Mytilus edulis: one gene and its partner. The protein of the gene in region 1 purifies or fractionates together with the protein of each later gene. This does not show direct contact. Links are inferred from orthologs where the notes say so. Each region holds a gene or a part of one and is shown on either strand. Other genes may lie near its edges.

Evidence for each region.
Region 2: the proteins of RNA-binding protein 42-like (region 1) and SERPINE1 mRNA-binding protein 1-like purify together in Homo sapiens (affinity purification with mass spectrometry; 3 studies listed by BioGRID and IntAct, with this or other methods). This does not show direct contact. The link is inferred for Mytilus edulis from reciprocal best matches to the Homo sapiens genes RBM42 and SERBP1.

Annotation. Positions count from the first base shown.
Region 1 is NC_092348.1:78,619,609-78,627,681, forward strand, and holds the start of RNA-binding protein 42-like, read right to left. Parts: upstream 3,700-8,073; 5' UTR 3,595-3,699; coding exon 3,542-3,594; intron 1,002-3,541; coding exon 790-1,001; intron 100-789; coding exon 1-99. UniProt on the Homo sapiens protein: Binds (via the RRM domain) to the 3'-untranslated region (UTR) of CDKN1A mRNA.
Region 2 is NC_092344.1:122,517,986-122,526,252, forward strand, and holds the start of SERPINE1 mRNA-binding protein 1-like, read right to left. Parts: upstream 3,598-8,267; 5' UTR 3,184-3,597; coding exon 2,958-3,183; intron 1,054-2,957; coding exon 909-1,053; intron 1-908. Other genes in the region: uncharacterized protein, read left to right, coding at 3,715-3,970. UniProt on the Homo sapiens protein: Ribosome-binding protein that promotes ribosome hibernation, a process during which ribosomes are stabilized in an inactive state and preserved from proteasomal degradation.

The DNA of each region.
Region 1 (8,073 bases):
CTGGTGGAGGGGGAGGAGGCGGGGCTAATGGTGGCATGTCTGATTTATCCTTTGGTTTTGGTAGTAAGGCAGGAGGCGGTGGTGGCGGTGCTGCCAACACTGAAAAATAAATGTAAAGCAATGTGAATAATCCGGTCCACAAATATAAACATTTCAATAAAAAAAATATTTGCAATTTTCTAAAACTGTAATTCTGTGAACTTCCTTAATGTTAATGATGATTGCACTTCTCGGGACTCTATGAAATAAAATTTATTCTTTTTCCCAGGCTATTCATTGAATATTTACATGTTATAGAGATATAATTAAATTATGGATGTAACACATCTTCTGATTGGCTGAAGTTGTTTTGTTTATCAGCTCATAGACATAATTTTGTCATGTGACCGTAGCATCATCAACGTTTTTTCATGGTTTACTCTGGTTAAAAATTGAATTTAGAATTAAATTAGAAGAAATGACTGTAATATTTTTTCTTTTTATTCGAAATAACATAAAAAGTTCACACTATAAAATAACCTGTGTATATTCAGTGTGCACCACATTTTTTTAAAGTTATTTCTTCAAAGACAGAAAAAATATTACAGTAATTCCTTAAATAGCTATTAACCTTAATTATATACATGTATGTATATTTGACCTGTTACAGTAGCAACCGAGCAGGAATGAATAAGTTAAACAAGACCATTTGTAATTGCATATACCCTTATATAAACAGAATCCAAAATAAGCATAAAATACAATCAGGAATACATGTTGAAGAGGTACAGAACGGTAAAGTATACATACCTGAAGCTGGCAAGGAAACTGATGGTGGTCCTGCAGGCTTACTACCAGGTGGAGCTGTGGGTGGTTTTCTCAAGGGTGGAGGAGGGGGTTGCCCAACAGAAGGAGGATCTGATGATATCCTGGCTTGAACATTGGTGAATGTTCTTGATCCTATTATCATAGGATGCGGCTTAGAACCCTGACCTTTTGGAGCCAATATTTCTTGTTCAAATCTGTAAAAGACAACTTAAGTGTGTCAACTTAAAGTCAAATATCATATTCAGAATTGTTGAACTGAATTCATTGCACTGTAGGGGAATTTCATATAAAAAAAACACTATTTATGCAAAAAGAATAGAAATGTTTACTCAACAAATCACAAAGCTGTACAAGTCATCACAAATCAAAAGCCTCATATTATTTGAAGGATGTGTATAGTGCTATACACAAATCTTTGGTATGCATAACATTTTTTTTGTTTTTTTTGTTTTTTAATATACATTCGACTGTTGTTATCTCAAAGTCAGCTAGACCAGAAAAATATTTACAGATACATGTAGTTAATTTAAAACAAAGACTTGAAGTTTAACAGACAAAAGTACATAAAACCTTGCTTACATTGTAGCTTGTTAAGGCTAAAATAAATCTGGATGAATATAGGTAGGGGATGGATATTCTGGTCACAGATTGATGTATTTGAATGTGATAGTATTTTCTATTATTATAACATTTTTATTTTGGCAGTGTCTGCCCAACCCCACATGAGAGCACCAGTAGTCAAATTGGCATTAGTAGACTACATGTCCCCACATCCAAAATGCCATCTAATGGCACATGAAACATGAAATATACACAGAAATCATCGCAATAAGGGAATAAATGGATTGAATCCAGACTCTCAAGTTTTTATAAATAATTATATAGTAAGTGAACAGTTTTTTTCTCTGTTAAATAAATATTCTTAAAATGGAATATTGTGATATATGTATATGAGGGGAAGACATTTAAAACTTATAATTTATTGAAATTATTCTTTAAAAACTTATACCAGAATCAAATTTTATCAGTCAAATAACTACATACATTTGTATAAAGGAAACTGAATCAATTGTGCATTAAAACAAAAAAAATCCAAAGAAAAATCATAGTTTGAGAGACTTAATTTCTTTTTAGGTAGAAAATTCCAGACAAATTTGGAGAGGAAAAGGGTATATTTTTTTATTTATAATTTTAAATTGGATTTGCTGCTTTTCATTCCTTAGTCAAGTTTTTTATTTAATTTCTGTTGAATACTCTTTTTTCTAGTGTAAATCATTCATGGAATCATGATATAAAGGAGATCTATATCAACTTTAATACTAATAGCTTCTTTAATTTATGAATACATTCAAGCTTTATTTTCCCTCCTTTTAGATATTTTAAAATTTCAGTTTCTTTTTTTTCATTTTTCTAAAAAAAATATTTTCGTAATGTACATGTTATTTTCTTTTCCAAATTCATAGATACCATATTTATTCCAGACGTTCCTTATTAGCAGATGAAGTATAAAAAAAATCACAATATACTTGGTGAGACTAGTATTGTAACAGCAACTATGTAATATGAAGGAAACAGCTTCCTAAAAGGGTCTCAGCATCATCATGATCATGATTTATGAAGTCAACCATGTAAAATTGTGCCAAAAGAATTGAAATATATTTTTACTGAAACTTGAATTTAAAAGAATGCAAAATAAAAGTTATGTGTTAATTAATTATTAGGCTAAAATAATTGCCTTTTTTTCAGTGACATTAATTAACATGAAAAATTGCACTTTTTCAATGACATTTGCACGTAAAATTGCCCTTTTTCTTACTAGCACCCTGCCCTTTTCAAATCCTGGCTAGAACACTGTATATCATGAATGATGGTTCATTATGTTTGTGGGGTAATCAGTTATACCGCATGTTGCTATATTACAATAGGAAAACACCCGGACGTCCCAAAAATATATAGGTGCTCCTATCATTGGAGGAAACACTACACAGTTGTGTACACACACATGGCAACATGAAACATGATCGGAAATCCATTTGATGATATCTAAACATATTGAAACAAAGTGAAAAATATTGTGTGTCACATGGGCGCTTACATTTGTCACTCTATGCGCCATTTCTGGTTGATAAGCTAAATTGGCACATGGCCCACATCCTTTCTGATCTGACAGTGCTTTACCATTAATTCCCATGAATATTTTATGTTACATTCCTGATCTTATGACATTTTATTATAAAACCAGATGTGGACATGTAGCCTAGGAATGCCAATAAACGTATTTACACTTTTGGTATTTAGCTGTATTTTGCCTCTGAATGACCTAATATCACCTCCGAAATAACCTTCTGACGTCAAACAACAATCACTTTTTAGTTGTGACGTCAAATGTTTTGAATTATGATGTCAAAGTTTACAGGAACCTGTGTGGTTTAATGTAATGGCGGACAAATTTGCATACAAGTGTAAATACGTCTATTTGACTACTCACACAGAAACTGCATTTTAAATTAGTCTCTAACATTAACAGCGTTAACTACTTGAACTAGGGATGTAGATCAGAACATTATGAGCGAGGGTGGAGGGTTCTTTTTTACCCGAAAGGCGTAGTAGAAAAACCAGTTCGTTCAGTATCTGGTAGAAGTAGAAGTAGACTGTGTACATGACATTGTGGTTCTGTATAAAATGTACTACGTATGTAGGGATATTATGACATTTTTTTTATTTTGGTTATTACCGACTCATTTCCTCTTCCATCTCTTTCAATCTCTGGTCTGTTATCATGGCCATTTTGTCTCTTGTTTTATTAGAAATCAACTATATATTTTTTTACAAATTAAACGTTTTGGTTGGTTCGATGTCAAATTTTATCTATGAATATGGAACGTTCATGTGCCCGTTAAAACACTCTAATGACGAAGAATTTCATTTTTCCGAACTGACTAAATACCATAATAAAATGTTTATACAATGTAGGATAATACAGACCCTATTTAAAACATTTTTTTAACGCATATAATGATATATTCTGTGTTTATAGGGCACTACCTGACAAATTCTCATATTTGATTATAACAATGTAAAACATGATACAAATTATAAAAAGTATAAAATTTTACAATTTTACAGGGCTTGGGCTCAATTATATAGCTTCGTTTCAATTGTAGTTTACGCCGGGTCTACTGAGACGTCATCTACTATCGAGTTGACCATCGACATCCTCTGATGACCATATAAGCCATATAAACATAATTATAGATATAAATAGATATTGTGATTAAAAATGATTCAATGATGTCGATTATGCACTTGCAACAGTGGCGGATCCAGAGGGGGGGGGGGGGGGTTCCGGGGGTCCGCACCCCCCCTTTATTTTGGCCGATCAATGCATTTGAATCGGGACATATGTTTGCACCCCCCCTGCACCCCCCCCCCCCCCCCTTTTGCCCTGGGCTAGCACCCCCCTTTCGAAAATTCCTGCATCCGCCACTGTGCAAGTGCATAATTCATCATCAATGTTTCTTAGCTTATTTTGAAAAATGAACCATACTGACTGTCAAAAGCGAATTATTATTTCACTATTTCAGTTTCATTAATGATTAAACACCAAAAAAAATCATAGTTCATTTTTTTATATATCCCGTAGCTAGACAGTGTCCCTTTAGTATTAGTGATTTAAGCGGGCAAATTGCATCTTTCTTTACAATTTAATGAATGGTCCGTATAATTTATCATACATACATGTAACAGTATGCCAACATTTAAACGATGCATTGTAAAACCAAACGACTTCATATGGCTATACAATAATCTAATTTTATGAATTGAATGATTCCTTTCGTACTTTTAAAGGTAATAAACGCGTTGGACGTGCTCATATTTTTTGCTCATCAAAAACGTGTCTTACATATGTAGAAGAGATCAATCAGTATGTTCTTCAATCTAATTTGTTAGTTAGCATTCTACAACTGGACCACGATTTTCCGAGAATTCCCAAAAAAATAAATATTACCGAGGCCTGATATTACATGAAAACTTCATTTTATATGGTGATATACTGCTTCTGCAGATTTTGTTTTCTCTTTCGATGACTTGGTGTACAAGGGCACACTATAATTTTATCATATGACACGGGAGTTCGATTGTTGAAACATGTTTTAAACAAGATTGAGACATTGAATCTCTTCATCATCATCAGGGCTAAGTATCTTAATTTCAATTTACCCTGCTTAACTTTTCAAGTTAAAAGATATTCAGAACTTGCACTTGTATCATGGAATGTATATACCATAGAGTAATATAATGCAGAATACCATTACTGGTAAAACCGAGAGTTGTCCTGCATTAAAGATTCAAATATTTACCTTCTAAAAAGCATTATTTTCAGTAGTGATACGTAAATTCTTAGCGAAAAAAAACTGATCCGAACTTTGCTCAAGCTTTATTACGTTTAAAGGGGCATAGCTTGGACACATGATCTGTCGGCATTTTACTAGTAAATTATCAGATTGTGAAACTGGTGAATCATTTTTTTTGTCCGGTTATAGAGTATAAAAACTTATGTTCCTCTTACTTTTATCTGTTTAATTTAACGTGCACCAAACCAATGACACAGAAATGGCTCCTGACTTAATTAGTACGGGCACATACATATATGCTAGTCGATTGATCTGTGGCATGTTAATACGCAAAATGATAAACATTATTTAGCCTTTGGCTGTAATTGTTCTTTGGTGGGGTTTTTGTCTCTGACATATTCCCCATTTCAGGGACTGTCTATAAATATTAGTATAGAAAGTCCCTGCCATTTCCATTCTCTATTTTATACATATATACAACAACAAAAACAAAAACAAATACTACTATAAAAATCATTCTAATGAGTTCAGTGGAACTGTCATGCAATGTGTTTTAAAAATGAAATGTAATATGATTGTGTTGTACGATTTCCTGCAGTATTGGTCGTTTGGAAAAAGTGATACTCACTAGAGCCACAATGTCAGCTAGCCAACCATTATCAAAGCATTACTCCATGTACCATATTTCGTATGAGTTAAAAAAAAACTACAGAAGTTTTAGAACACCCCACCATCAGCCGAATACGCTTTCATTCGTGTCTAATATACTAGTCAGCTAACAAAACCTTTAAACAGACTTTTTAAAAAGGGCTATAGTAACTACGATACTGTTGTCAAGGTGATTAAAGACTGCGAATTTTGGCTTTAATATTGATTCACTTATAGGGTCTTTGCATCGGCATTAAACACATATTCTAAAACCAGTTGTTGGCATAACACGGGTTATGTTCTTCTCATATATTTCATGATGGTATAAATTGGTCTCTTGTGGAGAGTTGTCTCAACATGGCAATGAGACAACTCTCCACAAGAGACCAATATGACACAGAAATTAACAACTATAGGTCACCGTACGACCTTCAACAACGAGCAAAGCCCATACCGCATACTCAGCTTCAAAAGGCCCCGAACTGACAATGTAAAACAATTCAAACCAGAAAACTAGCGGCCTTATTTATGTACAAAAAGTGAACGAAAAACAAATATGTAACACATAAACAAACGACAACCACTGAATTACAGGCTCCTTACTTAAATGTTCATAATATACTAAATGAAAACTATGTTCATATTGAAATTGATAGAAAACCAAAAATTGGGAATTTTGGAAATAAAGGAGGAGGGATAAAAAAAAAAGTATTTTCCTGTCCCAAATAACCTATCATATATGATATATGATACTTTTGCTGAAATTCTCCAGTCATTCAATATTTTACAAAATTCTTCCAACAACACTTTACATACTTTAAACTACGCTCTGAATGCCCGCGATTTCGCGGGTGTGTTCTAGTATGAACTTATTTGTAGATCGTACTTTGCTGGACATTTTTGCTGCATGTTTACAGTTCATCTTTATCATTAATACTATTCAAAAAAATAACAAAAAACTGCAAAATTTCCTTAAAATTACCAATTTAGTGGCAACCCCAACAATGTTCTTAGATTCATCTGAAAATTTCAGGGCTGATAGAACGTTACCGTAAGAACACTTTTACCTCCTGTCAGATTTGCTCTAACTGCTTTGGTTTTTGAGATATAAGCCAAAAACAGCATTTTACGACTATGTTCTATTTTTAGACATGGCGGACATGTTTTTTGACGAAACAGAAAATAAAACACATTTTTATTCTAGATACCCTAAGGATCATTCAGCTAAAGTTTGGTTTGAATTTGTTTGGTAGATTCAGAGGAGAAGATGTTTGAAATAAGTTTACACCAGACGGATGAAGAAACCAACAAAGGACATCGACGGATGCCAAGTGATGGCTAAAGCTCACAATTGGAACGGTGAGCTAAAAATGATCTGAAGATTTTTGTCAATTGTAATAGATCATAGAAGTAGATCTCGTCTTGCAAAAAAGTTTTGCTCTCAAAGTTTCTCTTTAACTACAGTATAATTTTCAAGATAGTTTTGGTGTAGATGAACAATTAGTAGGTCTAATCATTTTGAACATTTTTCCCCGTCAGTTTTTGTTTACTTACAGTGGTTTTCACGATAATAGATTAAACTTGCTTTTTAACCCTATATTCTTTTTCAGCCATTTTGGCCATTTTGTTTGGCAGGTGGGGGTCATCAGACTGATATATCAAAACAAGATACTTTAATGCTGATAGTGGCCGAGTTTGTCACAAAGTTAAATTCGGCAAATCAGTTTGTAAACGTTAATGATGACAAGTCATGATAAAAGGTCAATCTGTCCCTTGGACCAGGGGAGATAACTACAGGCTCTTAATACAGGCTCTTAAGAGCCTGTGTCACTCACCTTGGTTCATGAGCATATTAAACAAAGGACACAGATGGATTCATGACAAAATTGTGTTTTGGTGATGGTGACGTGTTTGTAGATCTTACTTTATTGAATATTCTTGCTTCTTACAATTATCTCAATTTTAAATGAACTTGGCCCATTAGTTACAGTTAAAATTTACAAAAACTTACAAAATTTACAAAATTATTAAAAATTGACTATAAAGGACAATAACTCCTTAAGGGGTCAACTGACCTTTTTGGTGTTGTTGACTTATTTGTGGATCTTACTTTGCTGAACATTATTGCTGTTTACAGTTTATCTCTATCTATAATAATATTCAAGAATAGATAATAACCAAAAAAACAGCAAAATTTCCTTAAAAATTTCCAATTCAGGGGCAGCAACCCAACAACCAGTTGTCGGATTCATCTAAAAATTTC
Region 2 (8,267 bases), on another chromosome or scaffold:
CATGAATCCCAGCAAAAAACAGGGGTGATATCGGGTCTCAGGATGGGTAAGTAAAACTAGCTCCACATGTGGCATATCAGAAGAAAAAAAAAAGGACAGAATTGCTGATTGGTACAATTGAAATATATTTCCCAAATCAGGAAACTTGTAAAAATATTGTTCTCGGATACAACAGTGGGCATCGTGTCAAGAAATATTTCCAGAGTGTTTACATCATCTTACATGTTGGTATTTTGTCATATATTTGATCATCAGTCAATGATTAATGTGAAAAATGATATTTATTCTGTCTGGATGATTTTTATCCCCAATTGAATTTATAATAAAATTGATTATTGCTATTTTATAGGGTTATTGCATGAATAATGGGGAATATTGTCCCGAGTAGAATTTTATATTGCACGAGCTTGCGAGTGCAATATATGTTCTACGAGGGACGATATTCCCCAATATTCATGCAATAATCCTTTTATTGTATAGCAATATAATATTTAAAGTAAAAATTGGTTTAAACTAAGATTTTGTCGTTGATGACGTCACGAATTTTGAAGACTTATTGCACTAGTGCAATGTTAAAATTTATTGCACGCTAACTTTTGGTTACTTTCTGTTGGAAATAATATATTGCTATACAATAATACTAAATATTCTTTTATCTTACTGACTGATAATTTCCTTCCAATGGAGTCGAGCGATATGAAAAATTATGGCTAGAATTTAAGGGAGTATATATGCCTGTTGTCAACGAAATTAACAACATCCTCTGACCTCATAGGTTAAATAGCGACTAACAGATTATAATTGGTCATCTCAACTTGATTGATTTTCTAAATTTCGCTATACAGACTTAAGTGAGAAAATCAATCTCGATGATGAGATGATCAACGATAATAATCTATTTCTTATACCTTGGTTCATTAGTCATAGATGAGTTTTCTTCAGGTCTTCTTGGCCGTCTGTCTTCCCTTGGTTCTCTATTTTCTCTGTTCTGTCTAGCACTCCTTGGAGGCCTTTCATTTTGCTGAGTCCTCGCTTGGGATGGGACCACCTTTTCTGTAATTGTAATAAATACTGTCTTATAAAACATACAATGATAAATTCTGAAATTTCAAAATGAACAATCCCAAGAATAGGGGATCTTGTAAATTTTTTCCATTATAAGGCTCAATTTTTTTTATTAGGCCTGGTTGAAATGAATTATCTATTAAAGGTATTCCTACATAGTTACTTTCTTTTGTTTGTGTGCCCACCAATACCATAAACAAAGTTGTCTTTTTTTAGTCATGGCGTTGTCAGTTTTAGATTTATGAGTTTGACTGTCCCTTTGGTATCTTTCGTCCCTCTTTTATAACTATGGGTCTAAAGCTCAAATTCAAATCAACAAAAAACTTCCTCTTAGCTTACACATTGCATGAATAGTACTGGATACATGTGTGGTAGAGTGGAAACAAAATTACTAAAATTCTTCCTTAAACTGTCCCCAGTACACGGATCGCACCATCATTTTCTATGTTCAGTGGACCGTGAAAATGGGAATCCCCATTTAGGCATTAAAATTAGAAAGATAATATCATAGGGAACATGTGTACTAAGTTTCAAGTTGATTTCTCTTCAACTTCATCAAAAACTACCTCGACCAAAAAACTTAACCTGAAACGTGACAAACGGACGCAGACCAGAAAACATAATGCCCATAAATGAGGCATAAAAATGCAATTTGGAAAAGAATTGTTTTTTTTTACTTTACTCTCATTTTTGTTTTTAAACAGTTTAGCCCACAACTATAATGGTTTTGTTGTAGTATAATGCAAATTTACTTACAAATATAATTTGATCTCACTCAACTATTTTTTGTTTGTGTGTGTAACCGGAGAGCACGTATCGTATCGAATCGTCACCACCGGGATTCGAACCCCGGTCGTCTGGGTGACAGTCAGTGCGTTAACCCACTGAGCCAAAGAATCGATTCCCTAGCTCAGTTGATTAAGACTGGCTATATATGTTCTACCTGTACTAAGGGGAAGCAACCCCGCTACACTATTCCCCCACCACAAGAGTCATCATATCTTCATATATGACTCTTAACAACACAAACCCTGGCTATACTCCAGATAACCATCGTGGATTTTTTTAGTTGGGCGCCAATGTAACCGGAGAGCACGTATCGTATCGAATCGTCACCACCGGGATTCGAACCCCGGTCGTCTGGGTGACAGTCAGTGCGTTAACCCACTGAGCCAAAGAATCGATTCCCTAGCTCAGTTGATTAAGACTGGCTATATATGTTCTACCTGTACTAAGGGGAAGCAACCCCGCTACATGTGACTGAAAAGCTGGTAATGTAAGTGCAGTTTTCTGGCAGTTCTAATATAAATTTCATTTTTTTTGTGGTCTTTCGCAAAAGCTGGTTTCTTGTCCATCAGTTCATTTAACAGAGATTTAGCAATTTAGACAATCAAAAATAGCTAAATTTATAAAATCTATATCTGCATCAGAAGCAGCTGATCAGAAGAGTTGCATGTTTAATCAATTGCAATATTTTTTTACCATGTTGCGTCACAGTATTTACAACCAAAAACTACAAAAACCTTCATTTGTTTTGTACCCCACCTTAAGTTGCATACAACCGTATTTCCCTGCAAGACTGTCCTTAATATAATAGAAGTAGGTTCAGGATCAGAAAACATGGTGGAACATAACTAGTAAACTACATAACCAAACATGGTCAAGACCACATGATAAACATAACTTCAACATCATTGCAAAATATATATTTATCATCTGGTACAGATGGTAACCAGTTTTCATACATATACACGTGAATGTGGAGGGGGGAAACAAATATAACGAAGTATTTTGGACTTCAAGCGTGTTATCTGTGAACAAATGTCAAACGGGTTACCTAATAAACAATCAAGACAATGCAAATAATCATTTCTGCACGATAGAATTATTACCTTCTTTCTTTTGTGTGTTTTGCTCTGTCAATTTAGTCTTGTTATCAGTTTGTGGTGCTGTCTTTTTTGTCTTTTTAGTTGGTTTGGACTTGTCAGCTTTCTCCTTCGCTAAAGCCTCGGTTCTCTTCTGTTCCTCTTGCTTCAGGATTTCATATGGATCGACATCATCATCGTCGTCAAAAAGACAGAACTTATTAGTCACTGCTATGCCGTATTGCGAGTCCATTGTTCCTCTTGATGCTGAGGATGGCAATGGATTTTTACGGCCTTACTTTTTAAGGTGCTACAAAATGGCGTGTTTCTCTCCAGACAGTATGAGCATGCTTTGGAATTAGAATATTCGGAGGAAAAATCCTTCCTTAGTTGTAACATAAAAACCCGAGAGTCTCGACAGTTCAAGGTTGTTTTCAAGTTCCATATTTAGAAATTTGGCGGGAGTAAGTCATAGAAATTTTATAGCCTCTGTTTTGCCACTAGTTTTCTCGCAGTTTAAACATTTAAGAGTACATTGAATAACTAAAGTCTTCATGCATATTATAATTCAGCCTATAACTAAAGTGTTTTTAAGAAATTGTAATTTATATCCCACAATGCATAGCAACGACGGGGAAACCACGAAATCCTTTTTTTAAATCTATTTTTATACCACATACCCGATTGGTGGAGTTCAGTTGGCACGATAACGGGTTTATACAGGTAAGAATTAAATACCTATGAACAAGGGTGACACAACGAAAGGTAAAGAAGTGATTTAACCATGCCGTCGTGGGGATTTAAAGATGAAAGTAAACCAGAATCTATAATTGAACCAGCATCAAATATGGATAGGAATTCCCCTGATGAAGATTCAGCTGATTTGGAAGATTATATGAAGAGAGGACGTCCGAGGGCCGAGCTAATCACTTCATTGATCTTCAAAGGTGCAGTGTCCCATAGTGGAATACGTTGTCATGTGTGTAATCGGGTTTTTCCTCGAGAAAAATCTCTCCAAGCTCATATGAGAACGCATACAGGTCAGTATTTATTTTATTTTACTCATTGAAAAAAAAATTTGTATCCTATATGTTGATAATTGACTATTTATATACTAACCAAAAAGTGTCAAACTTTTGAAATCAGAAAAAATCTTGACTTTCAAAGCAACTATTTGACAGTTCCATGGAATTTAAATTTATTGTTACCATAAACATCAATGTTTTCAGAAGAGGGTACTGATTGGAAATTATTCAATTGCTACAGTTGGAATAGTTACGGTACATTGATCGACCATTTAAGTATAAACATGTACAGTTGAAGTTATGTAACAAATGTAATTTAATACGGTAAAAGGTTGACAGGTAATGAAATGAAAAGTAGAATCAGGAATATAATATTTGTGAAGTGCAAACCACGTTGTAATGTTATTAATATTAATCTTTGTTTACATCTATATTTGTTGCAGACATTTAAACCTCCAATTTAAATCTACTACATGTACGAATATTTCCAATCAAAATTTAATTGGGGTGATATTTAAATGGCCGATCGATCAATCGTTGATCCACTGTGTCGTCAAGCAGACAGGTAATAGGAGATCAAACAGTACACCATTATCTTCAAGCTTTAACATGCTACCTGGGTTTTTAACAAAGTCCCGCCCCTTTCTTTTCGTCATGGTCGAGGTCCCGTTACACGCATGTTAAACCACTAAAGAGCACTTTGTCTCAATCCATTTGTAACGGGTTTCTTTAGCAACAACGAAATAAACAAACACAACACAAAATACCTATTTACAAAGACAAGAGATGTGTTTGAACGCGTCCCAGTATTACACCTATATTGATCACGGATTTTACCTGTGTAAATCGTCTTACCTGATTTTAGTGGTGTTATTTTTCACTCCCGTACTTAGTCTTTCTTTCACCAAATTCTACCCAACAAATGTTAGAAATTTTCAATATTTCAAGCCTTTAAATTCATCATTTGGGACATTTAAATTTATCACCGTATGTTTTGAGGTACAAATAAAAATTTAAATGCTCAATATCTTTTTAAACCGAAAGTTGCACTTTCAGAGACATTTAAATTTTAGAGCACGTGTAAAGACATTTAAATCCTATTATTATACCTTTTAATTTTGTTTTCAGCAGCCGAGAAGGTCCATTTAAAAGTTTTTATTGGAGTAAAAGGGTATTCCCTCATCAAGCTATTTATAAATTCTACATCATATATACCCGGAAGGCTGGTCACAGACCAATACACAAATAAGATCCGTATGTTGTCAGCATATTTTAAACATACCGAGCATGTTATACTTTTTGATTGTCAAAACTTGTTCCATTTCGTCAGTTTTAACCCGTGATCACTAGTCCCACACGATGTTTTATACTATATATAAAATAATAGATGTCGACGGGAAAGGGGGAGGGGTGAACATTCTTATACTATGTGTTTTCCTCATCTGACCGTCTGTTTTATTTATTGCCGATGAAAAACGAATTTGAAAGTGGGCAATACTAGGACCTTGTTATTTTTTATTGTAACTTTCAAAAGTTTGATCCAGTGAAGAAAAAAAAATTACATTACCCTAAATAATTAAACAGAACAAAATCAGCATATGACAATGCCTTCGATATTTGCCTCTTGTGTTATTGAGACCCATTAGGCATTTTGAAAGACTAATAACTTGATATAAGAAACCGTAGGTACACTGTACATGTATCTTTAGTCTTTGAGGTTGCCCAAACTACAAAACATTGTCTCTTTAATAGGTACAAAATGTCATATGAAATGTCCATTTATTATACTTTAGACAGTCGAACATTTTCAAGATACATTTTATTTTCATTCAAGAGATGTGAAAAAAACACCACGAAAGCTTACATTGTATCCCTGCTCTCCCTTTGGGATTCTAAAGTATATTTTTGCTTCCATTAACCATTTCAGTGTATTCTGGTTTTGATGCTTTAGGTAGCAAAACGTCTTAAACGTATATAAAACGGACACCTAAAACACCGGACTAAGACGAAGACAACATAAGTTTGTATTCTTGTGTTGTTGGTTTTTAAAAACTATTTTCATGTATTCGGAGTCGTGGACTTTCTATCTTTCCCCCCTAAATAGATAGCTTATGTGTATAGCCCCGAAGCTCTTTATAATAGCGTATAATTGTACTCTTAACGGGATACATGATTTTACTGTTAGCAATCAATTAAAATGTGTCTATACTGTTACAACACTAATAGGTAAATAAAGTATGAAAATAATTTTAATTTCATCAGGGCTATTGTACTGAGCCATTTCTTCTTGCGAAATGAACCGTAATTTCGTGGAAATGTTTTACAGGTGACGTAGTTTCGTGGAATATAACTACCTGTATTACAGAATTTGTTCTCGACAAGATGTTATGCAATACTGTTGGTCAATATTTATTGAAGTTTGAAAAGTTGGATTGTTTAATAAACCAATTTATAAATAGGTCGTAGCCCAGTCAACTGGAAAGCAAATAAAACTCCGTTATTTTGTTGAACTGATATTACTGCAATTTCACATTCTGTTTAGTTTTTCGGCTTTCTTTTTAGTTTACCTTTTTATTTGATCTTTTTATATTTATAATTGTGCAGATTTAGTTCAATTCTAATGACTCATGGTTCGGTAAACAGAATCTTAAAGTTAGTTGGTTTACTGGATGTTCGTATAAAAAGTTGAAATGGAAGAACATTGAATTGATTTTAGGCTGGAGGTTTATGATATTTTACTAACTAAAATATTGAAGTAAAATATCAAGTAATATTTGTGTATTTTTGAATGGCCTTTGTATGACTAAGTAAGGTTTACGAGTGATTAAGCAGGATAGGCCAAGGACAATGGAAGATATAGTTAGCTGAACCGTTATTGTTCTGGAGTTTTTTGTCAAGTGTGTGGTGTACATTTATTCCTTTGAACACGCAGTTCGCAGGGTATCTGTTCGGATTACTAACAAAAGATTACAAAATTCTGAAATGTTAACAATTACATGCCCGTTATTGCACACACTCAAACATTAGGCTCACTAAAATTATTTTTAGCATCACGATTACACAATATACATGCTTGCATTAAAAAAGGATATAAAACTTGCAACACCACCTTTCATAGGGCTTCATAGGATCCGATCAGAAAAGCTAAAAATAAATACCAAAGAAAATATTTTTTCGTTTATTAGTTTGGTTATAAATCTGTTCGTTTTCCCCCCGTTTGAAATTATTCACATTTTGTCATGTCGGGGCCTTTTATAGCAGACTTTACAACATGGTTTTGAAGGTCGCATCAACTATGGTGACCTACATATTCATATTTGAATGCATGCTTAAATACACTTTGTTGTACTCTGTTGGATATAGTTGTCACATAGGCCATCCTACCACTTCTCCTGTTTGTATATCACACCACCTTCCTTAATTTCATATTAAACCACATCTCCTTTTTTTTTTATATAACATTACACAGTCTTATATCAGAAACATATTAAAACCGTTAAACAAATGATTATAGGGTAGGTCAGTGTTTTTTTGTTATCCTCATTTTTTGGGACTAATACATTGATCGAATGTAGTACCAAGTCGTTTTGTACTTGGAACATTTGTGCCAGTTTATACCTTGAACATTTGTTCCAGTCGTTTTGTACACCGAACATTTGTCCAAGTCGTGTTGTACCTTCAGCAATTGTACATAAAGTATTGGTTCTAGTCTTAAATTTATGTACCTTGACCATTCGTTCCAGTCGTTTTGTACCCTGAGCTTTTGTCCTAGTTGTTTTGTACCTTGAATATTTGTCCCAGTCATGCTTGATTTGAGCATTTGTTCCATGCAGTCGTTTTGTACCTTTGGCATTTGTCCCAGTCGTTTTGTTCCCTAAGCATTTGTGACATTCGGTTTGTACCCTGAACATTGTGACATTCGGTCTGTATCCTGAACATTTGTCCCAGTCGTTTTGTACCTTGAATGTACCTCGAACATTTGTCCCAGTCATGCTGTGCTTTGAGCCTTTGTTTCATGCAGTTGGTTTGTACCCTGAGCATTTGTGACATTCGGTTTGAACCCTGAATTTTGTGCCCGAGGGTATCACAGTCCAGTAGTCAGCACGTCTCTGTTGACATGAATATCAATCACTTGGTCATTTTTATAAATTTCCTGTTTACAAAACTTTGATTTTTTTGGAAAACTAAGGATTTTTTTTATCCAAAGCATATATTACCTTAGCCGTATTGGGCACAACTTTTTGGAATTTTGGATCCTTAATGCTCTTCAATTTTGTACTTGTTTGGCTTTATAACTATTTTATATTTATTC